Linked DNA regions of Sus scrofa. The protein of the gene in region 1 purifies or fractionates together with the protein of each later gene. This does not show direct contact. Links are inferred from orthologs where the notes say so. Each region holds a gene or a part of one and is shown in the gene's direction. Other genes may lie near its edges.

What was found.
Region 2: the proteins of MORF4L2 (region 1) and SIN3B purify together in Homo sapiens (affinity purification with mass spectrometry; 5 studies listed by BioGRID and IntAct, with this or other methods). This does not show direct contact. The link is inferred for Sus scrofa from reciprocal best matches to the Homo sapiens genes MORF4L2 and SIN3B.
Region 3: the proteins of MORF4L2 (region 1) and ACTL6A purify together in Homo sapiens (affinity purification with mass spectrometry; 5 studies listed by BioGRID and IntAct, with this or other methods). This does not show direct contact. The link is inferred for Sus scrofa from reciprocal best matches to the Homo sapiens genes MORF4L2 and ACTL6A.
Region 4: the proteins of MORF4L2 (region 1) and RBBP7 purify together in Homo sapiens (affinity purification with mass spectrometry, with the first as the bait; 3 studies listed by BioGRID). This does not show direct contact. The link is inferred for Sus scrofa from reciprocal best matches to the Homo sapiens genes MORF4L2 and RBBP7.
Region 5: the proteins of MORF4L2 (region 1) and KDM5A purify together in Homo sapiens (affinity purification with mass spectrometry; 4 studies listed by BioGRID and IntAct, with this or other methods). This does not show direct contact. The link is inferred for Sus scrofa from reciprocal best matches to the Homo sapiens genes MORF4L2 and KDM5A.
Region 6: the proteins of MORF4L2 (region 1) and PHF12 purify together in Homo sapiens (affinity purification with mass spectrometry; 9 studies listed by BioGRID and IntAct, counting the BioPlex papers as one, with this or other methods). This does not show direct contact. The link is inferred for Sus scrofa from reciprocal best matches to the Homo sapiens genes MORF4L2 and PHF12.
Region 7: the proteins of MORF4L2 (region 1) and EPC2 purify together in Homo sapiens (affinity purification with mass spectrometry; 5 studies listed by BioGRID and IntAct, counting the BioPlex papers as one, with this or other methods). This does not show direct contact. The link is inferred for Sus scrofa from reciprocal best matches to the Homo sapiens genes MORF4L2 and EPC2.

What each region holds. Positions count from the first base shown.
Region 1 is NC_010461.5:84,563,505-84,567,636, reverse strand, and holds the start of MORF4L2 (mortality factor 4-like protein 2), read left to right. Parts: upstream 1-1,332; 5' UTR 1,333-1,472; intron 1,473-2,596; exon of another isoform or gene 2,597-2,877; intron 2,878-4,132. UniProt on the Homo sapiens protein: Component of the NuA4 histone acetyltransferase complex which is involved in transcriptional activation of select genes principally by acetylation of nucleosomal histone H4 and H2A.
Region 2 is NC_010444.4:60,788,861-60,792,912, reverse strand, and holds the start of SIN3B (paired amphipathic helix protein Sin3b), read left to right. Parts: upstream 1-1,252; 5' UTR 1,253-1,307; coding exon 1,308-1,415; intron 1,416-1,650; coding exon 1,651-1,757; intron 1,758-3,073; coding exon 3,074-3,227; intron 3,228-3,773; exon of another isoform or gene 3,774-3,838; intron 3,839-4,052.
Region 3 is NC_010455.5:117,615,415-117,618,914, forward strand, and holds part of ACTL6A (actin-like protein 6A), read left to right. Parts: intron 1-2,157; coding exon 2,158-2,252; intron 2,253-2,543; coding exon 2,544-2,650; intron 2,651-2,745; coding exon 2,746-2,835; intron 2,836-3,500.
Region 4 is NC_010461.5:13,299,521-13,303,020, reverse strand, and holds part of RBBP7 (histone-binding protein RBBP7), read left to right. Parts: intron 1-2,566; coding exon 2,567-2,727; exon of another isoform or gene 2,728-3,487; coding exon 3,488-3,500. UniProt on the Homo sapiens protein: Core histone-binding subunit that may target chromatin remodeling factors, histone acetyltransferases and histone deacetylases to their histone substrates in a manner that is regulated by nucleosomal DNA.
Region 5 is NC_010447.5:67,713,344-67,717,511, reverse strand, and holds the start of KDM5A (lysine-specific demethylase 5A), read left to right. Parts: upstream 1-1,368; 5' UTR 1,369-1,814; coding exon 1,815-1,979; intron 1,980-4,168. UniProt on the Homo sapiens protein: Histone demethylase that specifically demethylates 'Lys-4' of histone H3, thereby playing a central role in histone code. Does not demethylate histone H3 'Lys-9', H3 'Lys-27', H3 'Lys-36', H3 'Lys-79' or H4 'Lys-20'.
Region 6 is NC_010454.4:45,143,756-45,147,255, reverse strand, and holds part of PHF12 (PHD finger protein 12), read left to right. Parts: intron 1-1,797; coding exon 1,798-1,918; intron 1,919-3,423; coding exon 3,424-3,500.
Region 7 is NC_010457.5:3,523,424-3,527,433, reverse strand, and holds the start of EPC2 (enhancer of polycomb homolog 2), read left to right. Parts: upstream 1-1,210; 5' UTR 1,211-1,541; coding exon 1,542-1,694; intron 1,695-1,784; exon of another isoform or gene 1,785-2,175; intron 2,176-4,010. UniProt on the Homo sapiens protein: May play a role in transcription or DNA repair.

The sequences.
Region 1 (4,132 bases):
AATGTATTTTGAGACCCTGAAAGACAAGCTGTTTTGGCTGAATAACAGAGTACTGGCAAGGGCTTGAGTTCAAGGGGCAGGTAAAGTTCAATCCTGGTTCCTGTACTTCTGTATGCACTTGAGAAAATAATTGACTCTGCTACACAATAATTTTTAATCTGTGAAACGGGACAGAGAACATGCAGGGTGTCTCAATAGAACATGTACTTTTTTTTTTTTTTTTTTTTTTTTTTTTGGCTTTACATTCTGCAGCACCCTCTAGTGGAGTGTACAAAAATAAGCATTTTATTTCTGCTCTTCAAAGCAGTGCTTTTTAACTTCGGTGTGCGCTGGAATAACCAGAACAGTTTGTTATCTGTCGTAACACAGAAAGCCAAACCCTACTCCTAGAATTTCTGACTGGTTAGGTTGGAGGTGAGGCCTGAGACTATAAATTTCTGACAACTTCCCAAAAGGTGATAATGATGCTACCGGTGAGTCTGGGAAACACACTTTGAGAACCTCTGCTCTAAACCTCACCCATTCCCCGGGGGGGGGGGGGGGTGTATGTGTGCGTATTTATGAGCGCATACCTGCGTGCATGCACACATGTATAGGATCTATAACTGAAAGAGGTACAACTTTTGTTTGATTTTGATTAGTATCCATCTAATAAGGATTTTGTGAAGAAGAAAAGAATATCTGTGTGAAGAATATGGTAACACTACCTAAAACACAGAAGGCATGCAAAAAAAAACCTGAAAGCACAGCATATAAATCCCAGGGCCTCAGAACTAGTAAATGGTGGAGTAAGGTTTAAAATCAGGTCTTTGACTCCAAAAACATAATACGGTTTACCAGTACCACTACAGAAAACAGGGTAGAAACACATACCTAATCATAATTTCAAGAGGAAAAGAAAATCAGTTTTCAGTAATTGGGTCCAAGTCCAGTAAAGATGTATGTCTTTACTAACTAAACAAGCCATCTATATTTTCACTTGGGGTGGGGGTGGGTAAGGGTGAGGGAAGCACTTGAAGTGAAGATCCTAACCCCAGAGACGCTTCCAATCTTCATCAGCACCAGTACCTCAAGTCTTTCATCAGTTCTGACTGCCCACCCCTGGCAAAAAAAAAAAAAGGCAAGAAAGAAAGAAGAATGGGAGGGGTGATTTTTTTTAATAAGGAAATGAGGTAAAACATTTGTATCTAGGGCCATAGTCTCCTGATAGAGCAATTAACAGAAATTAAATTGATTTTTCCCCAGCAATGAAATATATATGAGTGATTTCTATAGATTGAAGAGTTCAGCAAATCAGAAAGGGGGGGGGAATCCCATAATTCCAGGGACCAAACAGCCAATCCTTTGATGGAATTTGGCGGCATCTAGTGGCAGATGCAAAAGGTATAAACCTCATCCAGAGAACTTTCTGGAAAATTAACTGAGCGCGTACTTGCCTGAAGAGCACACTGCTTGGAGATCAGGAGTGAAAGGTAAGAGAGCCTCAACTCCTACAGAAATTGGGAGTCCCTAGTGGAGGGGAAGTCTGTTGTATATAGATATTCTCTGCAGAAAATTGTTTGTGCCAAGAGAATTGTACAAAACTTGGGGAAGGGGGGAGGGGAGGGAGCGGGTAAGAGGTGGGGAGAAGGTTATTAGGGAACAGGAAAGAAACTGTTTCGTGGAATTGCTAATATAGGAACGGGAAGGTTCGGCTTTTAACCACTGGAGGGCTAGGGTTTAATACAGGATTTTGACACGGAAAAAAACGTGGGAAGAAAGTGTAATTTTAGGGTTTAAAATTAAATCGATGAGAGATCGAAATATCCCTAGCAAAGACCCTTTATCTTAGTTACGGTCGCCTTGCCTTAACTATTTAATGATTTTCCTTTTCATCAGAACAATATTCAAACCTACGAAAGTAGAAAACGATTCTTACAGAGCGCGCGCCCCCGCACACATCCGTGCGCGCGCGTGTACACACACTCACACACACACACACACACACACACGAAGGCGCACGCACCCGCTCGGCGACACACAACGGCCCCAACGCTAGGGGCGCACGCCTGCGCACACCCGCCTCCAACGCCACGAGGCCTGGCGTTCGCGCATAAGCCATCCCCAAGGCCACGCGGGCTCGCCTGCGCACAAACGCCGTGGCCCTGACACCACACGGCCGCAGCACGCCGCCACCCGCCACCAGCATACACACCGAAACCCCACTCTGCCTTTTTTTTTTTCTCCAAGAGTTGCGCAAGAGGTTGGGGGCGTGGCCCCAGATTTGACCTCGCGCTTCCCCACTCGCGGGAACTTTAGCTCATTTCCGCCCATCCTGTTTCCGCAGGCCACGTAGACACTTCCTTTCCCAGTGGAAAAAAAACCCATAATGCCTCCCTGCAGGAAAAAAAAAAAAAAAAAAGAAAGAAAGAAAAAAAAAAAAAGAAAAAACCTCTGGTCAGAGGAACTCTGGGTCGTGAAAATAGGCCACGTGAACACCCTGCCCTATAGACTTATGACCCAACTGCTGTCGCGCTTTTGGGGGGCGGGCTAAGAACCTAAGAGGGCGAACGTCATTGGCCACAGTCCGCACTAAAGGAGGAAGGTGATTGGTTTTCCTCAAGTCTTAACCGTGAAGAAGCAGGTTGCTAGCACCCGCCTTTACTGCGGCTAAGTGTCATTGCTGACGTGGTGGGCTTCCACCAATCATTTGGTTATGGAACATTCTAAAACTTAGGCAAGACGATTGTGATTGGCTAGAGGGCGTAAGCCCGCCTCCAGGGTGACGTGTCTGCCTATGGATATCAGTTGCCAGAGAAACCTGGCTTTACTATGGCGGTTGGAGGGTCGGCAGTGATCACACGTCGGCTGCTGGAAAGAACTGGATTCTCGTTTCAGGTTTCGGGGTGGGGGTGGGGAGAAAGGGTTGCCGATTTCCTCTTATCGTTGCGTATATAGACAAGATTAACTGATGGCTTCACAATCAGGCAGAGCTAGATTCAAATGCCTACTCGCCAACGCCCAGCTTGGGCTGGCTCCCGTTCTTTCTGTGTCTCGGTTTCCATGTTTGTAAAATGGTGATAATAATAGTATCTACCTCAGAGACGTGTGCCTCAGAGGCGTGTGCTGTATATTAGTGCGTATAACTAACGAATGCAAAGTAATATAATATAATACGCTTAATAACTTAATATGAAGCCTGACTCCGGAAGATATTAGCTGTTATTATGGAGAGAAAAAAACGCGTAATAGAGAAAGAAAACATAAATTATGTAAAGTCGTTCATTATAGTGTTTTTCCTGCCCATCATCTCCTCCCCTAGAAGAAATTCGAGATATAAAAGAGACGTATCAGTTTTTACCGATGGAATAGTTTATTTGGGAATTGCCTCAAAATAGCGGGGATTGGAATTTTCCATATTGAAAAGTTTAAAAAAAAAGCGGCGGGGGGGATGGGGGTGGGGAGAGATGGAGAATGAGCGAGCTGGAGATGAACCACATGCGATGAGTAGGCCTTGTTTGGATCCTGATTCGGACACATTAACTATATTTTTTTAAAAAACTGTTTAAGATGCATCGGGATATTTTGAAGTCGTATTCAAATTCGATTTTTTGGGGGAAATTGATGACGATGTTTTAGACGTTAAAATGGTATTGTGGTTATGGTTTCAAATTGTCTTTAGCTTGTAGCAATATATATGAAAATACGGATTAAATAGTAAAATGTCTGAGATTGGCTTCAAAATATGTTGATATCTATGATTTGCTTCAAAATAATCTCAGCGGTAGGGGGACGTGGGGAGGGGTATAGATGAAACCAAATTGGCCCTAAGTTAATCGTTTAAGCTGAGTGATGGGCATATATGATTTCTTAAATTATACTGGCTTTCTTGGTATATGTTTGAAATTTTCCATAATAAAATACAGAAAGTCAGCTATTCACTGAGCTTGAAAAAAACGGAGTGGGGGGGGAGCAGTGGGTGGGGTTATAGATAAAACAAGATGGCCTTCAGTTGGTAATTGTTGAAGCTGGAGGATAGATTCGCATAGGCTTATAATATTATTCCCTCTACATTTTTATCCATTTGCAATTATCCTTAATTAAAATTTTTTAAAGGCAAAAACAAACTAGTTTATCAGAAATCAGGGTAAAT
Region 2 (4,052 bases), on another chromosome or scaffold:
CCCACTGAGTGAGGCCAGGGATCGAACCCAAAACCTCATGGTTCCTAGTTGGATTCATTTCCACTGTGCCATGACAGGAATTCCCAATAACTATTATATTTGTATGTTCTCTCTGAAGTATTTGTTACAAGTGAGCTTTACATCTATGTATGTGATTATTTGATTCCAATCCTCTTGAAAGGCTGATGGCTCTGTGAGTGTAAAAGCCTGGTCGGTTTTGTTCACCCTTCTACTCCTGACCCCTGGCAAATGATGCACTTGTTGCCAATGTATTCTCAGCTTTCCTGCACCTCTTCACACATTGAAAAAAAAGATACTGGAGTTCCCATTGTGGCTCAGTGGTTAATGAATCCGAACATGAGGTTGTGGGTTTGATCCCTAGCCTTGCTCAGTGGGTAAGGAGCTGGTGTTGCCATGAGCTGTGGTGTAGGTCACAGACGCGGCTTGGATCTGGCATTGCTGTGACTCTGGCGTAGGCCAGCAGCTGCAGCTCCAATTAGACCCCTAGCCTGGGAACCTCCCTATGCTGCGGGTGCGGCCCTAAAAAGACAAAAGACAAAAAAAGAAAAAGAAATAGGAAGACCTTGGAGGTTTGGAAGCAGCTATGGAATGATAGTTCTTGATAGCACTGGGGCTGGAAAAACTGGTTAAGAGGCTCCCGAACCAGTGGGAGGGTCCAGTGGGGAAGTGATAGGGTCAGGAACCAAAGGCTCCAGTGGGGAAGTCATGGGGTCAGGACTAGAGAAGCGAAGAGAGGAGGAACAGGACTAAGTCAAGAGCAATTTGGCAAACCCCGTGGCCCTGAACTAGGGTGCTGTGTGCCCATACCAGGTTGTCACATCAACCCTACAAGTACGAGTCAAGAACATTTTATTATATATCAGGCTGTGTAGATCTTAGCGTCTGTCGCAGTTATTCACCCCGCTGTTGTACTGCAAAATTAGCCAGAGATGACAGGTAAACAAGTGGGCATGCCTATGTTCCAATAAAACTTTATTTTTGCAGACACTGAAATTTAAATTTCATAGAATTTTCACGTGTCACGGAATAGTCTTCTCCCTTGGATTTTTCTTCCAACTTTTAAAATTGTAAAAATTATTCCGATCTTGCTTTGGGGGCCAGACAGAAGCAGGCGGCAGGTTTTGGTTTGCTCACAGTGGTATATGTCAGGACAGTCGCGTTTCAGTTTTATGGGGTAAGATCCTACCGCAGAGTCCTTGAAAGAGCCCCGCCTTCAGGGCGGAGCCAGCGCATGCGCGGCCGGCCCCCGGGCGGGGGCGGGGCGGGCTGTGGCTCCGACTTCCAACATGGCGCACGCTGGCGGTGGCGGCGGCGGCGGCCCAGCGGGCCGGGGGCTGAGCGGGGCCCGCTGGGGTCGCTCGGGCTCTGCGGGCCATGAGAAGCTGCCAGTGCACGTGAGTGGCGCCCCAGCTCTCCCTCGAGCACCCCGTCGTCCAGTTCCCGCAGGCCGGCGCCCCCCACCCAAGCCCCGCCCGGCCCCGGCCCCGCCTCGGCCTCCTCTCCGCGCAGCCCCAGACCCCCGACTCCCCACCTCCGCTCCTTGAGGCCCAGCCGGTTGCCCCTCCCGCCAGGGTCCCCCGCCCCCTCCTCCGCAGACCGCGGCCCACCTGGACTTTCCCCTCCCCGCAGGTGGAGGACGCCCTCACCTACCTGGACCAGGTGAAGATCCGTTTCGGCAGCGACCCTGCCACTTACAACGGCTTCCTGGAGATCATGAAGGAATTCAAAAGCCAGAGGTACCTGCCGGGCCCCTGCCCACCCCAGGGGACCGTCCTGGGCCGCAGTCAGCCTGAGCTGGGTGGGAGCCCCTTACCCTGGCTGCCCCATGACGGGGTGACCTTGCCCAGGTGGTCAGAACTTAGCGGATCCTCAGTTCCTTCTTAAAAAAAAAAAAAAACTGGGACGGGAGGGACCCCCCGGGAGGGACCCCCCCCCCTTCACCCGCCCCGCCGTGGCCCTGTTGTGGGGATTCCTGGACCGAGGGCAGGGATGGGGTGAGGCAAGTGAGCAAACACAGGGTAGGATCCCGTCTTTACTCAAAATGTTGATTTTTAAGTGAATTTCATTTTTCGAGGCTTTTTAAAAGTTAATTTTTATCTTTTGATCAAGCAGTGCATGAAAATGTTATTAATTTTGGTTATCGACCGTATTGGCACTGTGTCCCTCTTAAATCTTATCCCCAAGGTGAGTTCCTCACTCCCTTCACTCCAGTCCCAGGCCTACTTGAAGTAATGCGCACAAAATGCTTAGTAAGGAATCTGGCACTAAGAAGGCATTTAAAACATGTTAGCTGTTTTCACAGGCACTGAATCAGGAGGGTTAGAGATAGATGGGAGACCTCCCTCCCGATGGTGCTCTTGTTGGAAAGGATGCTCATTGAGGCTTAGAGTGGGTCAAGGGGTTGTCCAGACCCACCTTAGGGGCAGAGGCGGGACCAGAACTGGTTCTGTCTGACTTAGATTCGCCAGTGTCACATCCCCTCCGTGCTGCTTCTCCCTCTAAGGAAACAGGGTAGGGCCCACCTGGTTGCCTTCCACAGGCACAAGGCTAAAGCCTTGGCCCTGACTGCAGCCCTGAGGGAGACCCCATCTCTGCCCTCCGATTCTTATGCCACTTCCATACTTGCATGGCCTTTGCATTATAGTCAGTTGCTGGGAACAACTCCAGTGTCATAGTCCATCTCTAATTCATGCGAAATGGAGGAATTTATCTCCCCTTTAGAGGGTTTTGACATGTCACTTCTTGGAGCCCACAATTTAAAATTGGCTCTCCTGACATTTTCAGAACCTAGCACATGTGCTTGCAGTGTTTTGGGAGCCGTGCTGTGTACATATTCTGTGGATTTTGCCAGGAAGGCACTGGGAGCCCAGGCCTGGCTGCCTTAGCAGCGGATCACCACCAGCAGAATCACTCCAGTCACATTTTAGGGTGGTTGGTTCTTTGTCCGTTGAGAAGCTTGTGACATGGCACGGTTAAGGGAGTCACGAGTAGATTTCTCTTTTAATCTGCTCCCCAGGACGCCTCTGCCCACTCTTGTTCTTCTTTGTTCTAGTATCGATACTCCAGGAGTCATCCGGCGAGTGTCACAGCTATTCCACGAACACCCTGACCTCATTGTCGGATTCAACGCTTTCCTTCCTCTCGGCTACAGAATAGACATTCCCAAGAATGGCAAGTTAAACATACAGTCGCCTCTGTCGAGCCAGGTATGCGGCTGCCGTGGTTTGAATGATCTGACCTTAGCACAGCCCACCCTGGTACGCAGGCCGGGCAGCGTGTCTCGTGTACTTCATTGCTAGAAAGGTGGTGAAGATCTGGTCTTTTTCCTGAAATGCTTCTAACGCAAATCAAAATAGATCAAAACACCTACCCAGGCAGGCTCTGCATCCCAAATTGATCCTTTTGGCAGATTTAAATCAGGAGTGGATGTGTTTGTGCGTGCCAGGGAGGCATTCTTCTAACACAGTTTTATGTCCAGTCAAGATAATTGTGTCCACAGTCACTGAAGTCTTGGTTGGAGGTTCTTCCTCTGAGTGCCTTAGGCAGGCCTCACTTGTACTTGGGCCTGTGGCCCCTTCTGATCACCCTCAGTGCCACCCACAAAATAAAAGCAGCAGAGGTGCATGTGTGACTAGCCATTTTTGTTGCTGTGCTTCATTTACCTGCTGACAGGATCATTGACTGAGCTCAGGCTTGTGGCTTTGGTCCCTTCTTTCTTAAATGACAGCTTGCTGCCTCTTCTGTCTCTGCAGTCCCTCCTTGCTTGAGCTCACCAGACTCCCTGAGAAAAAGCCTGTTTGAGCTTTACTTTTCTAAGGTAACCATTGTCTTTTTCTCTCCTCGACCCTGTTGCCGTGTAAGGCATAACACTTTGCTGTGGGGGTGTTGTCCAGGGCATCATGGAGTGTTTAGCAGTGTCCCTGGCCTCCACCCACTAGATCCCCACCCAGTCAAGACAGCTAAAAATGTCTCCAGACATAGCCAAGTGTCTCCTGCGGGCAAAATTACTGCGTTGAGAACCACTGGTGTAA
Region 3 (3,500 bases), on another chromosome or scaffold:
ATTACCCCTTCCAGTTTCATTTTCATGAGAATAAGTTTTGCCTGAATTTTGGGTACTTTTGAATATTTTCAAGTATCTTTAAATGGTCAGTTAAAATAATTTGTCCAGATTTTATAACTGTTATCTATAGGAGGGCTTACATACCATTTTGCTGCTTTTTAGTCCGGCATTAGCTGTATCACTTTGTACTAATAGAGATAAAATTAGTGTTTACGTATATAGTTGACCAGAGATCAGTAGAGTACCACTAATAGTGAAGATAAATTATCTTGTTTTGTCATTTTTTAAGTTTAAGTATAGTTGATTTACAATGTTCTGGTAATTTCTGCTGTACAACATAGTGATTCAGTTATACATGTACATACATCTACTCTCTTTCAGATTCTGTTCCCTCATAGATTATCACAGAATATTGGGTAGAGTTTTCAGTGCTGTACAGCAGGTTCCCATTGGCCAGTCATTCCATCAACCTCATGTGCATATGCCAATCCCAAACCCCAAGTCCATCTCCCTCTCATCCCCCCATCTGTCTACTTTGGTAACCATGAGTTAAGATAAAATTACCTTTCTGGCCATTTATTCTCAGATCTCTTTCCTCTGATCATTCCTGCTCCTGCCTTCATTTTCTGCCCTTAGCCACCGCCACTGCCCCCCACCCCTATATGTTCTTTCTGGTTTAACTATCCATTTCCTTGGCTTCAGATACTAGTTATACACTGACAAATTCCCAATCCATGTACATATCCCAGATTTTTCTTGTGAGCTCCAGGCCCATGTCCAGCTGCCTACTGTAATTTTTTCTATTGGTTATCTGGTTTAAGCACTTTAAATTCATTATGTCCAAAGTTGAATTTATCTTCCCTCCCCTCAAATTTATTCCTTCTCCTTCATGTGTCATCTTACTCTCAGTTATCCAGATCAGAAATCCTTCTCATTAGTCCTTTAAATTTAGTAGTTATCAAAACCTGTGTATTCTCCAAGCCATCCCACCCAAGTCCAAACCCTCAAATTCATTTATTTCTGTCAGCCGCCACTGCATAAGGTGCAAGCTATTTCCCAATTATCACAGCCTTTCCTATCTTGCCCATTCTTTACACTGCAGTTCTAATAATCTTTGTTAATTGCCAGCCTGCTATTTTGAGCCAGAATTATCTTCCACATTGTTCCCTTCCTTCCTTCCATCTTTCAGTCTCCTGAACTACTTTGCACTTCCCTGACCTCACCATGCTGTCTTGCCTCCTGGTCTAACCATGTGTTCCTACTCTTCTCCATGTCCCCTTCCCCAGTTTACATTTGGATTTCCCAGGGATTGGTTAGGTGGTCTCCATTATACTCTCTAGGGCATCTTTTTATAGCTGTTCTTTTTATAGCTTTATTGATCTCTACTTCACTAAAGAGGATATCCTTCAGGGCAGAGACAGTTTTGGTTCAGCTCTGTGTATCTTCTGTGCTTAAGTAATGCCAGTGAGAGACTGACCTCCTTTTTCCTTCCCTTCTTTAGTGAGTACTGGACTCATCACTAGGCACATAATAGATGCTCAGTAAACATTTGATGACCCAGTGAATGGCTCTACTTCTCAATGTAGGTTTACGATGTTAATGTGATGTAGGCCTCTGCAGCTGTGGAAAATTGGATAAATGAAATCTGCTGTATTCATTGGCTGTTGAATCTTTCTGGAAGTGCTCTTCCTATTGAGTTGGGGGAGAGGATAGCTGCCACTCAGCTGCCATTCTGCTGAAATGGTTCTAATTAATCCCATGTGAGAATGGTTTTGGTTCTTAGCTCAAGTGTCAGCCTTCCACTGTTCTTACCACGTTCTTTTAGATTTTGTTAAATGCTTCTCAGTTAAGTTTGTTGTAAGCCCTTTGATCTATGCCAGGTACTTTGAATAACTGCTAATTTTGACCAGCTTAATAGACATCTCTGGAATAAATGTTTCTCTGACTTCCTCACCCCACCATTCTGGAAGTCCAGCCTGCTGTTGTCATTTGTTTTTAAACCAGAGTTGTTATTAGATACCAACTTTCATCCCTATATTTTAACACATTTTAAGTCACAATGCACATGTTTTTAAAATGCCTTAACAAAACCTTCCCTTTACAATAAACATTATTTTAGAAACTTGATACTTTCATTTCCTTAATGCTGTAAACCAGATTTGCCAATGGTCGTTCTACTGGGCTTATTTTGGACAGTGGAGCCACTCATACCACTGCGATTCCAGTTCACGATGGCTATGTCCTTCAGCAAGGTAACTGTATTTAACAGGGTGCACTGAGGACGCAGGTCATGAAATAAAGCAATGAATTGGACTATCAAAGTTTATCAGTTTCCAAATAATATCTTTTTTGAGTGTTTTTTAAAAAAACCTCTAGTATATAGTGTATATTGAAAACTGACAGCACTGCTTCATTCATGCTTTGAGGGGTAGTTGTGTTAATTCTACTTGAAAGAAATTACTCATTTATAAATACACAGGGGAAATTTGTCCCAAGGAATTTGGATTTAATGCTTTCTTAGCCTTGTTTAATCTGTTTCATAGGCATTGTGAAATCCCCTCTTGCTGGAGACTTTATTACAATGCAGTGCAGAGAACTCTTCCAAGAAATGAATATAGAACTGATTCCTCCATATATGATTGCATCAAAAGTAAGTGATAATTGAATTTTATTTCTGGGATTTATCTCCAACTCCCTACGTCCATATTTCGAACTCTTAACCAAGCACGTGCTCTTGGCACTCAGGAACCTGTTCGAGAAGGATCTCCAGCAAACTGGAAAAGAAAAGAGAAGTTGCCACAGGTTACCAGGTCTTGGCACAATTACATGTGTAATGTAAGTAACCCTTTTCTCTTTATGAAAGCATTATAGGCTGTGAGTTTGAACAGACTATGAGTATTTTATATTTTTCAAACTTTATATCTCTGATGATGTTTTACAAATAAAATTAATAGCTTTTGGGGGTGGGTTTTTTCATACTTGCCAATATCTCAACAAACAACTCTATATTCATTTGAATTACTATTGTGAGACCTGAAAGGAGCATTGTTTTGGGGGTTAAAAACAAATACGCTATTCTGTACATTTTTTGGCTAAGGCAATGTTTTTAGTGTGTAGAGCTGCTCTGCTAGTGTGGCTTAGTTATGTTCTCTTTCCTAACATGAGTCAACAATATTAAAAAATGTGCTATTGTTCATAGCAAGTTTCTCAATGGGAGACTTTCTTTACTGAAAATCCATCTCTGATCATGACTTACTGATAGGGGAGTCATGTTAGTAAATTAGACTCTCACATCGCAATATGTATTAATTTCTTTTTTTTAATTTATTTTCTTTTGTGGGGGCTGCACCTGCAGCGTATGGAAGTTCTCAGGTCAGGGATTGAATCCTCTCTGCAGCTGCAACCTACACTAGATGTGGCAATGCTGGATCCTTAAAACCTGCTGCACCACAGCAGGAACTCCTATATATTCATTTCTAACAGTAAAAGATGAAAGTCAT
Region 4 (3,500 bases), about 71 Mb from region 1:
TTATCTTTTATATTTAGGTCTTTGATCCATTTTGATAGATATGAGGTAGGGGTCCAGCTTCATTCTGTGCATGTGGATATTCAGTTTCCTGAGCACGGTTTGTTACAAAGACTAATCTTGGAAGTTTCTTCGTGGTGCAGTGGGTTCAGGATCTAGCATTGCTGCAGCTGTAGTGCAGGCTGCAACTACAGCAGAGGTTCATTTGACCTCTGGCCTGGGAACTTGCACATGCCACAGGTGTGGCCAGAAAAAGGGAGAAGACTCATTTTTGCCTATTGAGTTGTCTTGGCATCCTTCATGTTAAGTGTATTAGCATTAAAACACAGGGACCTTGTTAATTTATCATAGATGAACGGTGGTAGCATTCTTGGCACAAACAGCTGCGTGTTTTCTCTTGTGGTTCACATACCGTAAGCCAAAAGTGTGTGGTGTGACCCCAAGCACAAGCCGAGAGGAGACTTCTGGAGCTTTTGAAAGCAGCCCTTCTTTAATGACTTGTTAATTGCATTTGTGTTAAGATTTGTGAAATACTGAAAGTAGGTAATTGGCCCAGTCAAGATTATTTAGTTATAAGCAACCAAACCCAATTCTGGCTGCTTTTTTTGAAAAATAATTTTTCGGAGTTCCCGTCGTGGCGCAGTGGTTAACGAATCCCACTAGGAACCATGAGGTTGTGGGTTCGGTCCCTGGCCTCGCTCAGTGGGTTAAGGATCCGGCGTTGCCGTGAGCTGTGGTGTAGGTCGCAGACGTGGCTCAGATTTGGCGTTGCTGTGGCTCTGGCGTAGGCCGGCAGCTATAGCTCCAATGAGACCCCCAGCCTGGGAACCTCCATATGCCGTGGGAGTGGCCCTAGGAAAGGCAAAAAGACCAAAAAAAAAAAAAAAATTTTTTTCTCGGAGTTCCCGTCGTGGCGCAGCAGAAATGAATCTGACTAGGAACCATCAGGTTGCAGGTTCCATCCCTGACCTTGCTCAGTGGGTTGGGGATCTGGCGTTGCCGTGAGCTGTAGTGTAGGTCGCAGACGTGGCTCGGATCCGGCATTGCTATGGCTCTGGCGTAAGGTGGTGGCTATGGCTCCGATTCGACCCCTAGCCTGGAAACTTCCATATGCTGCAGGTACAGCCCTGAAAAGCAAAATAATAATAATTTTTCTCTACTTGTTTGTTTTAAATTCTCGCATTTTTTCTTTTTAAGACTACTCTTCAGGTGAATTTTCTGAGTGACTCTTTTTTAAGTCTCTTTATTTTTTAAAAATGTATACCTGTTTAACACATTTCTCCTACCCTCCACCCCTGGCAACCACCAGTTTGTTCTTGATGAGCTTTGTGAGTAAATAGTGCGGAAGTGAACATGGGGGTGCATATATCCCCAAGGGGGATTTCTGGATCATAGGATAGTTCTATTTTTTTACTTTTCGAGGAACCTCCAAAACTATTTTCCTTAGTGGTTGCGAAAACAACACTGGCTGATTTAAATAGAAAAGGAATTTATTGGAAGGGCATTGGGTGGGTCGCTCACACGATTGCTCCGTTGGCTAGAAAGTGACCTGAAAAGAGGAGAGGCCAGATCGCTGACCCAAATCAGGCCAGTGAGGATGTCACTCGTACCACCCCTGGAAAGTGGATGGATGTAAAACACACCCCCGGCACCTGTCATCAGAACAGATTCTCCTTTGGTGCTGTTCACAGTTCACAGACTTGGTGCACTGGTAGCTTGCCATGTCTTTGCAGCCATGCTTCAAGGGTCTCCCTCAGTTCCCTGAAAGGAAGCTTTCATTTGTTTCCCTCAAAGTGGACCTAGGAGAGTCTCCCAAACCGAGAGAATCGCTTATATGCTCGGGAACTTCATTGCTAGTACTTTTTGAACACACCACGCAGTGAGTTGCCAGTCTTAACTAATAGCTGACATTTCCCAAGGGCTCCCCATATGCGAGGCATCTTGTTAATGTTCCCAGGATCCTTTTGAGATGAGGAGCCAGGTGAGGGCAAGAGTTACATGCGTGTAAATTGTGCATCTGCATGTCTAAGTATCAGCAGAGACTAAGGGCCACATGTATTATGTAACATTTTCATGTAAAAAAGTGATTTTAAAAAGAGAGGAAGCTAGGAGTTGCTGTCGTGGTGCAGAGGAAACGAATCCGACTAGGAACCATGAGGTTTCGGGTTTGATCCCTGGCCTCCCCTCAGTAGGTTAAGGGTCTGGCGTTGCCATAAGCCTTGGTGTAGGTCTCAGATGCTGCTTGGATCTGGCCTTGCTGTGGCTGTGATGTAGGCCAGCAGCTGCAGCTCTGATTTGACCCCTAACCTGGGAACCTCCATATGCCACAGGTGCAGCCCTAAAAAAAAAAAAAAAAAGACAATGAAGTATACATGAGGATGCAGGTTCAATCCCTGGACTTGCTCCCTGGGTTAAAGGATCCGGTGTTGCTGTGGCTGTGGTGTAGGCCAGCAGCTACAGCTCCGATTTGACCCCTAACCTGGGAGCTTCCAAATGCCATGGGTGCAGCCCTAAAAAGAATAAGTAAATAAACTCAGTCCCTTATAACTCTTGTTTGTTCCTTCTTCAGACTGTCTGTCTGTGGGATATCAATGCAGGACCAAAGGAAGGCAAAATTGTGGATGCTAAAGCGATTTTTACTGGCCACTCGGCTGTTGTAGAGGATGTGGCCTGGCACCTGCTGCATGAGTCATTGTTTGGATCTGTTGCTGATGATCAGAAACTTATGATGTAAGGTGGAAAATTCAGTGGGGTCTCATTATGGGATGTCCTGAATGACCGTCAGTGATTGTGCTGGCCTGTGGTTGGTTGGTTGGTTTTTCTTTTTTTAATTTATATATGGCCTGCAAAAAAAGACAAAACCCAGCTTTAGTGAGGTCCAATTGATAGAATGATAAACTGCCAGTAGGTATGGGCTTTTAAAATTCAAATTACTGTTCTGTATGATTGAACACAACTTTGTATTTCGAAAAAGAAAGGAGAACAGGTCTGTAAACATGAGGAAGGCCGCTTGGGGCAGTGGTATATATATATCACAGGTGGGATCAAGGTGGCTTCCTTTGAAGCCGAGGGAGAAGAGTGATTGTGTCAAGGCCCGGCCCCAGGGCTGCCTTCATTCAGCTGCCTGACATGCTTTTTATTTCATGAACTCATGTCGGAGGCAAGCAAGACAAAATACTGAAATTTGAGAAGGCCAGCTAGGTTTTAGGTATCAAATGGTTACCTTGTTTTCAGCGTAGTATATTGCGGATGCTGGGAATACTTGGAAGTCCAGGGGGGACCTGAAGGAGAAAGCCGCAGTGGCCGGGGTTTGTTTGCTGTAGGTTTAGAGCCTACCCCTTGGGTTGGACTCTGCGTGCTTGGGGTCTCTGAAGAGGCGAGTGTGCGGAGAGCAGTGGTGTAGACGCTGCTGACGGGGGCGCGGGAGAGAGGCGGGGCGGGGTGGAGTGGCCTGCTTGTGTCCTGTGTGCCTTGTACCCCTGTGTTGTAGATGGGACACCAGG
Region 5 (4,168 bases), on another chromosome or scaffold:
CCAGGTGAGAGAGAACTTAACTAGCATCCTGATGTATGTATACACACAGACACACACACAGACATATTTTTTGCTTTTTTAGGGCCACACCAGCGGCATATGGATCCCAGGCTAGGGACTGAATTGGAGCTACAGCTGCCAGCCTATGCCACAGCCACAGCCAGAGCAAGGCGGAATCCTTGCCCTCTGGGACCTATATACACCACAGCTCATGGCAATGCCAGATCCCGACCCACTGAGCGAGGCGGGGGATCAAACCCAGACGGATACTAGTTGGATCAGTTTCTGCTGGGCCACAACAGTAACTCCAGGATCCTGATAATTTGGATGTACAGGCATGAGTGGATTTATATTTATTATATATATGTGTGTGTGTGTATATGTATATATATATATATATATATATATATATAATGGATTTATTTTTAGATGACAGAATCTCCATACTTGACACTGGATTTTAAGTGGGGAGTGAAGGAGCAGGAATTAAGGATTACTTCTAGATTCTGGTTCAGGCAACTGAGTAGAAGGATGAAGACATGCATAGAAATCAGAAACACTGAAAAAACAGTGGGGACCTACAAGTTCAAGTTTTCTGAGTTCACCAAAGTGGAGCTGTCCATTACGTAGCTAGAAGTACTGGCTTGTAACTCAGGAGAGGAGTCCAGGCTGGAAATAAGAGATTTGGAAGTCATCACCATTTAGGTCCTGGGGGAGGCTTAGACTGAGCAGGGAGCATGAGAACAAGCCTCGGGAAGTAAGTCTTCCGATTGATGTTCAATACAAGAACTATCCTTTCACGGCGTCTTTAGTCTTTTCTGCGTCATTTTCCGGAATTTGGACTAAGTGGAGAGGGGCTCTGGCATAGAGGTTTTTTACAAGCAGGGCCGGAACAGCTGCCCTAGCTGTTAGAGCAAACTGAGAAAGTCTCAAGGTGCACTGCTACCAGAAGAGAGCGATTGCTGTTAAGACGATGTGGGGGTTATCAACGGTTGTAAAAGTAAGTTTCAAGAGCCGTTATTTCTTTGTGGTCGGAAATCAATTCTTAGACGGTAACGAAGGCCGGCCAGCCGGGAGATTGGGGGGATGGGCTGGACCCGAATTTGTTGCCATGGAGATGGGGCGGATTAAAGTGTCCGAGATTATTCGAAAGGGACACTAACAGTGAAAGGACCAAAAAAAAAAAAGAGAGAGAGAGAGACAGATGCTGGAGAAAGTAGTTATTTGGAATCATACACGGTAGGTGAAAGAGTCAGCACAGCAAAATCAGACGGCTCGCCCTGGGGACCACCTACACACAAAGGGGAACCGGGTTCCGCTCACCGGAAGCAGAACCTCTGCCCTTGGCGCATTACGCAGTCCCCGGCGCATTACGCAGCCCCCCGCGCCGGAAGAGCGCCCTGCTCGTTTGGTTGTTCCCCACCGCCCCAGTGGGAGGGGGCCACGGGGCCGCTAGACTGAGCCCTAGGAGACGTCGGCAGCGCGGACCTTCCGCGGTCGAAGAGCCAAGGAGCGACCTGTGTTGTCTGGAAAAAGAGAGAGAGGAAGGTCGCGCAACTGGGCACTGCTGCGGAGGGATCCTGTTTCTGGGTGGCGGAGGGATTTGGTCGTACGCTGACTTCCGGCGAGCCCCGACCTGAGAGGAAAAGCCCCGAAGGAAACAATAACAAACGTTGGAGGAAGCGGTTTAGGGTTTCTTGCGTTGAGCGGGTTTCGCCTGAGAAGATGAGCTTCGGCCCCTGTCAGCGGACGTGAGCGCCATCAGTGGGCCCACCCAAAGCTACTCTCTCTGCGCCGCGGGCCCCTGTGCGACCATGGCGGGCATTGGGCCGGGGGGCTACGCGGCGGAGTTTGTGCCGCCTCCGGAGTGCCCGGTCTTTGAACCCAGCTGGGAGGAGTTCACAGACCCGCTCAGCTTCATCGGCCGCATCCGGCCCCTGGCGGAGAAGACCGGCATCTGCAAAATCCGACCGCCCAAGGTACCGGAGTCTGATCGGGTTCGCTTGACTTCCCGGCCCTTCTGTCCTTTCACGTTCACTTGCCCTGGTTTCTCGACACCTGGACGCTGCGTTTTTGGATGTTTCTGCCTTGGTTTCTTTGGGGTCTCATGTAGGCACGTCCGGACGCGAGAGAGTGGTGCCCCTGGGGCCTTTCCGCCTAGAACTTGGGAACTGATACTTTCCTTCCTCTATTGGGTTGTGGGCAAGGGTAACAAAAGCTTTCGGTCTTTCGTTGGCCTGTAAGGTGTTTGAGTTACTGACACGACGTCTTTACACTCGCGTATAATTCTTATTAAGGTGTCACAGTAAAAACTGCTGTTCGATCGGTGGGCTGTTTCTTCAAGCCCTTTTGATGCTTGATTTATTAAGTATTTGGAGGCCTCATCTCAGGGCTGAGGTTTTTAAGATGGTAATGTAAACCTCTAGTTGTTCCCTTAGGATGGTTTCACCAAACAAGAACCCCAGAGTGATTACTGCTGCAATGAAAAGTCTTCTCGGGGGAGGAGCAGCAGCAGCATTTATTTTTAAAATCTAGAGGCTTAGAAAGGATTTGTCAAATGAGGTGGAAGAAAATGTCGAATCTTTTGCTGTAAGGAACCATGAATCAAAGATTTGCGAATCGCGATGATAGCAAATAACTGGGTTTGCCAGTGGATTAGTTATAATATCAATCTTTACGATGAAATTTAGTGCCCCAAGAGGTTGAATACTTGCTCAAGGTCAAAAGGTTTTTTTCTCTATTCGTCAGACCAGTGCTTTCCAAATGACATTCCTGGTTCACCTGCACCGGAGGCAGCCGGATGCTTGTTAAAATGCATATCTCTAGGCCTCATTCCCAGTCTAGAATCAGTTTCTGGATATGAAAGTTCTAGAAGCTGCTTTTCCAATAAGTACTCTCATGATGCTTAATGAACATTAAAGTGTGTGAACCCTACCCTTAGTGCTTCTTAAAGGAGTACCTTGCTTTATGTCCTGTCTACTAGCAATAAAAATAACATATTGTCCTTTTATCCATTGTATTTTAAAAAGCATCTGCTCTGGCCACAGGCTATCCCAGAGGTGTGTGCAGCACTGTGAGTAAAAAGAGCTTAGACCGTGGGGGGGGGGGGCTTGGGGAGAGGGGGAGCTAATTCAGCGTTTACAGATTATTTCATTTAATATTGTTTGAAGCTCCAGAAGGGAAACAAGGTCTCATTTTACAGATGAGGCAAATCTGCATAAGTTAAATAACTTAGATATGTGATCTTGGGCAGTGGCAAAGTAAGTTTTGAATCTAGATCAGTCTGTTTGTTTTTAAAACCCAGACAAGCTTCTCCCCTAGTTCTCAATGAATTTAAGATTATAGACTATCAGTTGGCAGAGAAGGTTGAACAAATAATTACTGTGATGAATGAGGATATATGTATTGTCATCCTCCAAAAGTTTAACTCTTTAAAATTTTTAATTGTCACTTAATACTTTTTCTGTAAAGATTACCTAATATTGACAAAACCTTAAGTACTGAAGTTTTTCCTAACCCATGTATTCATCTAGTGTATCGCCTTAATGAATAGAGACTGTTCATTTTTTTAAAATATAGCTGTATTACTTAAAAAAGACTGAAATAATATACCTTCTCTGTGTCATGTAATTGTTATTTAAAATAAATGTTTACAAACATTTCAGTATTTCAATATTAGGGGATTTCTTTAGTTTCCAAGGTAAGATAAAAAATTTTTTGACTACTTTTCACATTTTTAAATGCATTTACTATTATTTAGGCCAAATCAAACTATGTTGTCTGGAACTCTACTTGAAATGTGTTTTCTCATTTCATTTATAGCACATTTTTAATCTGGAAATTATCCTTGTTCTGTGGGTTTGCCTTTTTTTTTTTTTTTTTGAATATCTGGGTGCCCAGAAGCTGGGCTTTGGACAAAACATTTATATAACAGTCTTATAAAGTGCTGTGTCACATTGAACATGAATAAAAAACATTATCCAATTACATAAGTACTTTTTGAAAGTTAGTTTTGGGGCTTTAATTTTACCTGTTTTTGTTTCTTTCAAATTTTGTTTTCCTTGTAATTTGATAAACTTGGATGTTTATTAGACACAGTATTGAGACACCTGAAGTTGTTGCATCCCACTTGAGTAACTAGGGAAGGTGTAACTGGGATGTAAATAAT
Region 6 (3,500 bases), on another chromosome or scaffold:
CTCATAGATGACCACTGTTTGGTTCTTGTATCTCCTAGAATATCTTTGTGCATATATTAGCAAATACAGATATATGTTCATTATTTTCCACTTAGATAGCATACTTGCTAGAGAGGTCTTTCCATATTAATGTTGACATCCCTCAGTTTTTCTTAATGATTGCATAGTAGCCCATTGTATAGATATCCCATAATTTATTTAACTAATTTCCTATTAGTGGACATTCAGGTTGTTCTTAATCTTTTGTTACTGTAGCTAGTGTTTCAACAAATAGTTTTGTAAATGCATCATTGTGTACATGTGAGTGTATCTGTAGGATATATTACCAGCATTAGAATTGCTGGATCAAAACTCTGCATTTATATTTTTTTAAAGTATGCATTTATAGTTTTAATGGATATTATGAAATTGCCCTCCTTTTTGTTTTGTTTTGTTTTGTCTTTTTAGGGCTGCACCCCCAGTATGTGGAGGTTCCCAGGCTAGGTGTTGATTCAGAGCTACAGCTGCCAGCCTAGCTACAGCAATGCCAAACCCAGGCCACATCTGTGATCTACACCACAGCTCATGGCAACGCTGGATCTTTAACCCACTGAGCAAGGCCAGGGATCGAACCAGTGTCGTTGTGGATAATAGTCAGGTTCATTTCCCCTGAGCCACAAAGGGAACTCCTCCTTTTTTTTTTTAAGTCTTCTGTCTTTTGTCTTTTGTCCTGTTATGGCCACACCCTCGGCATATGGAGGTTCCCAAGCTAGGGGTAGAATTGGAGCTGTTGCTGCCGGCCTACACCAGAGCCACAGCAACACCAGATCCAAGCTGCATCTGCATCTGTGACCTACACCACAGCTCATGGCAATGCCAGACCCATAACCCACTGAGTGAGGCCAGAAATTGAACCTGTAACCTCATGGTTCCTAGTCAGATTTGTTTCTGCTGCACCATGACAGGAACTCCTTTTTTTGTTGTTTTTTTGTTTTTGTTTTTTTGTTTTTAAATCAAGTCATGGCTTCTACTTGATATCATGAAGCATTTAGATCTTATTTTCTTCTTCCCAGAGGAAGTGAAATTGGCAGGTTTAAGAAACCTACTGGTGCATATAGTATCACAGCTTTTCTGCTTTCTATAAAAATGTAGTAAAATTATAGTCTTTTCCTCAACTGCCTCCATAGAATAGTCTTTTGTTGACCATTTGACTTGAGCATTTATATTTCTTAGGTTGCCAATATCTAACCAAGGCTTCTGACCACTTCATGTTTTCAAAACATTTAGATGTGTTTCTGCCACAGAGCAAGTGACTTGCAATCGTGGTTCTGACTTACGTCTTCTTTTCCTCCTTTCTCATTCTTTTTTTTTTCCTTTTTGGTTTTTTGGGGTTTTTTTTGCCATTTCTTGGGCCGCTCCTATGGCATATGGAGGTTCCCAGGCTAGGGGTCAAATTGGAGCTGTAGCCACCAGACTACACCAGAGCCACAGCAACACCAGATCCGAGCTGCGTCTGCAACGTACGCCACAGCTCACGGCAACACCGGCTCCTTAACTCACTGAGCAAGGCCCGGGATCGAACCCACAACCTCATGGTTCCTAGTCAGATGGTTAACCACTGAGCCACGACGGGAACTCCCCTCATTCTTTTTTTTTCCTTTTTGAAAGCAGCCCAGGAGGCCTCAGAAAGAGATCCAAGTCTAGCCCATGACATGTGCTTTTACTAAGATCTGTTCCTCTGACTTAGTGTCATTTCCATATCCCAGATTAGGAAGTCTGCATCCAAGGAAAGTTCAGCACCACCAATTTCTCTTCTAGGTTCTAGTAAAAGGAGAAGAAAGGAGGAAACCACAGGGAAAAATGTTAAGAAGACACAGCATGAGTTAGATCACAATGGTCTTGTTCCCTTACCAGTCAAAGTCTGCTTCACGTGTAACAGGTATTTTTCTTCCATACTCGAGGGACTTTTCCTCGTATTCAGCAAATGTGTGTTCTCCTATTACCTCTTCTAAATCATGTATGTTAAATGTACATCATCTATATTCTGATGGTATAAGGACAGAGACTGTGACTAATTGACCAGTCTTGAATGTTTTACAACTTAGGTGAAGAATCATGATGCACAAGTACTGTAAACTGTGATATTTGTTCTGTTTTGGCCACAGCATGTGGAGGTTTCCAGGCCAGGGATTGAATCCCCTCCACAGCAGTGACCGAAGCCACTGCATTGACTACACCAGATCCTTTAACCCGCTGTGCCGAAAAGGAATTCCTGTAAATTGTGTTTATAGAGGCTAGAATGAGAGGAGTTGAACTTAAATTGAAGCATGAGATATTTAGACTAGCCGACAGGAAGAACTCTGGCCAGCAGAGACATACATCCCTGGAAAAGGCAAATAATTTTTAAAGCACTGAAAGTAAGTTTAAAAGTAGTGTAGGAGTTCCCTTGTGATGCAGCGGGTTCAGGATCTGGCGTTGTACTACAGCAGCTTGGGCCACTGCTGTGGCGTGGGTTTGCTCCCTAGCCTGGGAACTTCGTATGCCATGGGCATGGCCAATAAATAAACAAATGAATGAACGAAGTACAGGTATCATAGTGGCTAGTATGTATCTAGACTGGATGACTTCCAACAGCCTCTAGGCTGCCCCAGTTGTAGCTTCCCTGGGATACTGGTTTCCTTCAAATAGGTTCTCCTCAGTGACAGGAACCAGCTGCTTCAGTTACGGGAGCTGAACTTGTTGGCTTGGGTGTATTAGAAGGGAAGGATAGCAGGAGAAAAAAGCTATCAAAAGAAATGTTCCACAGCCAAAGCTGTTGGGAATTAGACCGCAGAGCAGCAGGACTCTAAGCTGGGCCCAGACTGTGCCTCCATTGCACCTGCACAGCTCAGGTGTGGTAGTTACAAACCATAATTGGCATTGGCTTACACCCCCTCCCTTGAACTGTGATTACATAAATGCGTTACAAAATCATTTTCAAAATCAACCTTTTTGGTTATCAGTTTTGCTGAGTCCTTCATTGCAGAAGAGAAATCTTTACTTGTTGTAGTACTAGACTCGAGAAAGGTTGCTAATGATTTTCTTTTTTTTTTAATGAAGTCTTTGCTTTCTTTAAAGGCGTAGAAAGAACAGAGCAGGGTTGACTGTCTTCCCCCAGTGGGTACTGAGCCTTGATCGCTCCTGCTCTGACAGCCGCTTTAGCCAAACTCCAAACAAACATTCTCTTCTCTGTAAGACACATTCCTCTTAGAAGAGAGAATAACGAGGAGCCTGGTGGAAGCCCCCAGCTTCATCCGTCTTCCTAATAGTGACTGTAACGATCATTGCGAAGGAGAATATGGGAGAACATTGCTAGCATTGAGAGAGGGAAGCTGTTCCACAGGGTAGAGTCTGGTGGAATTCTCCCACCTTACCATAGAAATGGCCGACATGTCTTTTTTGCAGGAGTTGTCGTGTGGCCCCTCTTATCCAGTGTGACTATTGCCCCCTCCTGTTCCACATGGACTGCCTCGAGCCACCGC
Region 7 (4,010 bases), on another chromosome or scaffold:
TTGTAGGAAAACTGTGATGCTTAAAGTCTAACTAAGGAACTCTTGGCTAAATGAAGTTGATATCAACAATCGCTGCCAAATAAATTTGAGTCAACTGGATTTTACCTCCTCTTTAGAACTTTCTCTAACCGGTTCAGGCTAAAGTAGTCTCCTTTCTCTGAACTCTCATGGCAACTATGGCCTGTATGACTCATTTGGTAATTAAGCATGTTCTACTGCCTTGTGTCATTGCCTATGTAGTTTTCTTCAAGTTATAAACTTTTTTTCTTTTGGCTGTCATTTACTTTTCAGTTGCCCTGTTCTTCAACTATTTACATCTCTTACTGTTACTCATCTTTTTAACCGTTCTGTCATCCCATCAAAGTGAAAGCTGCACGAGGACAGGAACTTTTCCTCAAACCTCTTGGCATCTTCCACAGCATCCAATATTTTACACGGATCTATCACTCTGGAAATGTTCTCTGCCTTGGTTAAAAATTATAAGCTTAATATTTTTGAAATCAGAAATATCATCCATTAAATAACTCTGAAGTTTTGGTGACAGGTTCAAGTGCACTTGTTGCATCTGGCAGCCTCAAACATTAACCCTCACTGCTGCCATTAGCATCCTCTCAGCGAAAGCGAGGATGCCTTACCTTGGAGAGCTCTTTCGGCCAGGTACCAAAAAAAAAAAAAAAAAAAAAGATGCGGGAAGAGGGCCGGGATTGCGGAGGCGTTCTCGGGGCAGACGAGACCCGACAGGTCTGCGCCCCTCGGAGCGGACGGAAGGAATGGACCTTTCGCACCTCCCAGGGATGCGCGATTTGGAGGATGAGAATTAGCTGGCGCTGTGGAGGTAAGTGCTGTGTAAGTACAGGCTCAGTGGGGCAGCTGTGGCTCGGTTGACATCTTCCCTTTCCCGCTCACAGACTTCTGCACACACGGGCTGCTCAGCGCGGCTGTGTTTTGCCCGGCGCCGTCCTCCGGGGCACCCAACTAGCTGGGTGTCGGGGCCGCGGAGGCAGAGGCGCACGCTCGGGGGCGCGGGTTAACTTGCGCACCTGACACCTGCCACACGGCTAGAGCGCCGGCAGCGGAGCAGAGGGCCGCTGCCGCCCCCCTACCCGGAGCGGCCCGAGGCTGAGCACGCTCCCGCGGGCCGGCAGCGCCGCGGAGAGAGTGGGTGGGCAGGCGAGGGAGGGGAAGGAGGGAGGGAGGGAGAGGGCGAGGCGCGTTCCCGCGGCGGGGGCGCGCTCTCGCGCGGGCTGCCGGGATCGCTCGCCGCCGCTGTGGTAATGTCCGCCATGTTGGCCATGGCGCAGGGAGCGGATCGGGCGGGCGAGCGGCGGATCTAGTGTGTGGAAGCGGCCGCGGGCGGCGGGGGGCTGTTTTCGGGCGGGGTGGGCGCCCATGCTGTGGCCGGGGGCAGTGAGGAGGAGGAGGAGGAGCGGGCCGGCCGCGCTGCACTGAGGAAGGTGGTGGAGGAGGCGGCGGGAGTCCTCCCCCCCTCCCCGCCCGCCCCGCCGCCGCCGCCCGGGCTGTTCCTGTAAGGCGGGGAGACAATGAGTAAACTCTCCTTCCGAGCGCGGGCGCTGGACGCCGCCAAACCGCTGCCTATCTACCGCGGCAAGGACATGCCTGATCTCAACGACTGCGTCTCCATCAACCGGGCCGTGCCCCAGATGCCCACCGGGATGGAGAAGGAGGAGGAATCGGTAGGGACTCGAGTGTTTATTACCCCCCCTTCCCTCCTCCCCCCTCCCCTTTGTCAGTCGGGCCTCGCCATTCACAGAGCGCTTTACGCTCGCTGGAGGGCGCCGCTGCCGCTCCAACGCTTGGGACCTTACGCCGGCGGAGTAGCGTAAACCCTCTCGGCCGGCGCAGCGCCCGCCCGCGGCCGCCATGTTGTTGCGTCCCAGTGTTGTGATTAGCTCGCAGCGCCGCTTACGCTGCCGTAAGGGGGCCTTGCCGTAAGCGGCGGCCCGGAATGGCGCAGGGGATGTTCTGGCCGCACTTGACGTACGGCCTCTGTTTACCTTTTTTGTCCCCCTGGAGTGGGATTATTTAATCCGCAGGGGATGCTTTGGCTAGGCAACGTTTTTCCCCCACTTTTGGATTCAGCCTTGCATTGGGTTCTTTTTGAAATGACTTGTGGAAAGTAAAACGCTTTCAAAACATCGTCTTCCTCTTAGCAAGGTAATTCTCGCACCCCGGCCCGCGTTGGTGCAGCAGGATTGAGGTGGTGCAGCACTGCGGCCGGGGAGGCTGAGGGCCACGACCACTAGGAGGATGTAACGTTAGAAGCCGCTGACCGGCTAGCTCCGGGCCCAGAGCGAGTCGGTTCTGCCTGCCTAGCCCGGACGGTGCCTGCTTAGTGTGAGGCTTTAGAAAGGGACTGGCGATGTTAGGCAACTAGCTGCCGATGCTCCACAGTCCTCGCCCCGCGTCCCTGAAAAATTGCCATGGGGGGGTGTTTTAGAAGTTGAGGACCTATTGCATCCATATTGACAGCTGCATTTTTATTAATAGCAGCAATTTGGGGCAAAAATGTTTTTTCTCCCTGATGCGTTAAATTTTGGATATGGTTGAATTTCCTCTGGCTTGACAGTGTTTATGACTCGAGTGGTGCTACTTGTGTGCGAAGTTCATAGTAACTGCACCCTCAAGAATTTCTTCAATGAACCTGTGGTCCCGCCTTATTGTCAACCTCGGGTGTGCGTGGATTGGTTCTCTTGCTTCTGTGACTGTCAAAAGAAGGCCCAAGGTTTCTGTGATTGGTTTTCTCTTATGACTATTAATATTGCAGGAAATGCTTTAATGCCTTTGATTGGTTGCTCCAGTTGTGACCTCATTATATTACCCTGTTATTACTACTTCTGCTGTGATTTAACCACATTCTTCGTTAATGTTTGATTACTTGAAAGCCTTGCACTTTCCGTAGAAAAGGAATATGTTCTCAGTGTCAAATGAATATTCAACTTAAAAAATAAACAAAATGAAAACCCAACATTTATGCTGAAGATTTTAGAGCTAAATCATATGTGGAAATTCTTTTTGTTTTTAAATAAAATTTATTTCTAGCTTAGGTCAGTTTTCCATGAAAAAGATAATTAAAATAAGGAAGTTATAGCACGTTCGAGAATTAAGTTAATTGAACTTTAAAAAACACAGCTTTGGATTCCACGAAGTTGTATTTCTGTTAATATGTCCCTGAAAGAAAAAGTGGCAAATGAGTCTCGAAGTATCAATACTGTATGTAGTTACTTGGATCCTATTACTTGGGTTTGGGAAGAACTTGAATTAAAAACCTTATTCTAGAATGAATAGTTAGCCCCTGAAATATATATTACTTTTTTTTTTTTTTTTTTTTTTTTTTTTTTTTGCCTTTTTCTAGGGCCTCTCCTGCCGCATATGGAGGTTCCCAGGCTAGGGGTCTAATTGGAGCTGTAGCTGCCGGCCTATGCCAGAGCCACAGCAACAGGGGATCTGAGATGCGTCTGTGACCTACACCAAGCTCCCGCCAATGTGGGATCCTCAACCCACTGAGCGAGGCCATGGATTGAACCGGCAACCTCATGGTTCCTAGTCGTATTCATTAACCACTGAGCGATGATGGGAACTCCTGTGAATGCATATTACTTTCTGCAGACAGTGATCAGCTATGTACTTATGTATTGTTTTAGGCCCTTAGGTATGTCTTGGCATTTTATCTTAATTTAGTAAGAAAACTTGTGGTTTAGTTACTTTTTAAATGATGCAATAAAAATAAATGCTTCCCCTTTATAATTCTGTATTATTAACCTTTTCAGTCTAGAGCATGAGTGCTGATTTGCATTATTTTCAGGAGCCTGCTTCACCTGCCCAATTTTAGGAAGAAATCCAAATTCTGATAGAACTAGAGTTAAAACTCAGGCTTTCTGACTTTTTGTCCTGTCCTTTCCATGTCTTTAATGTTGCAAGTGAAGGTTCTTAAAAGTCAATCTAAAACTAAACAAACCCTGGCAGTATTTATAGTCTAGAGTCTTTTGCCT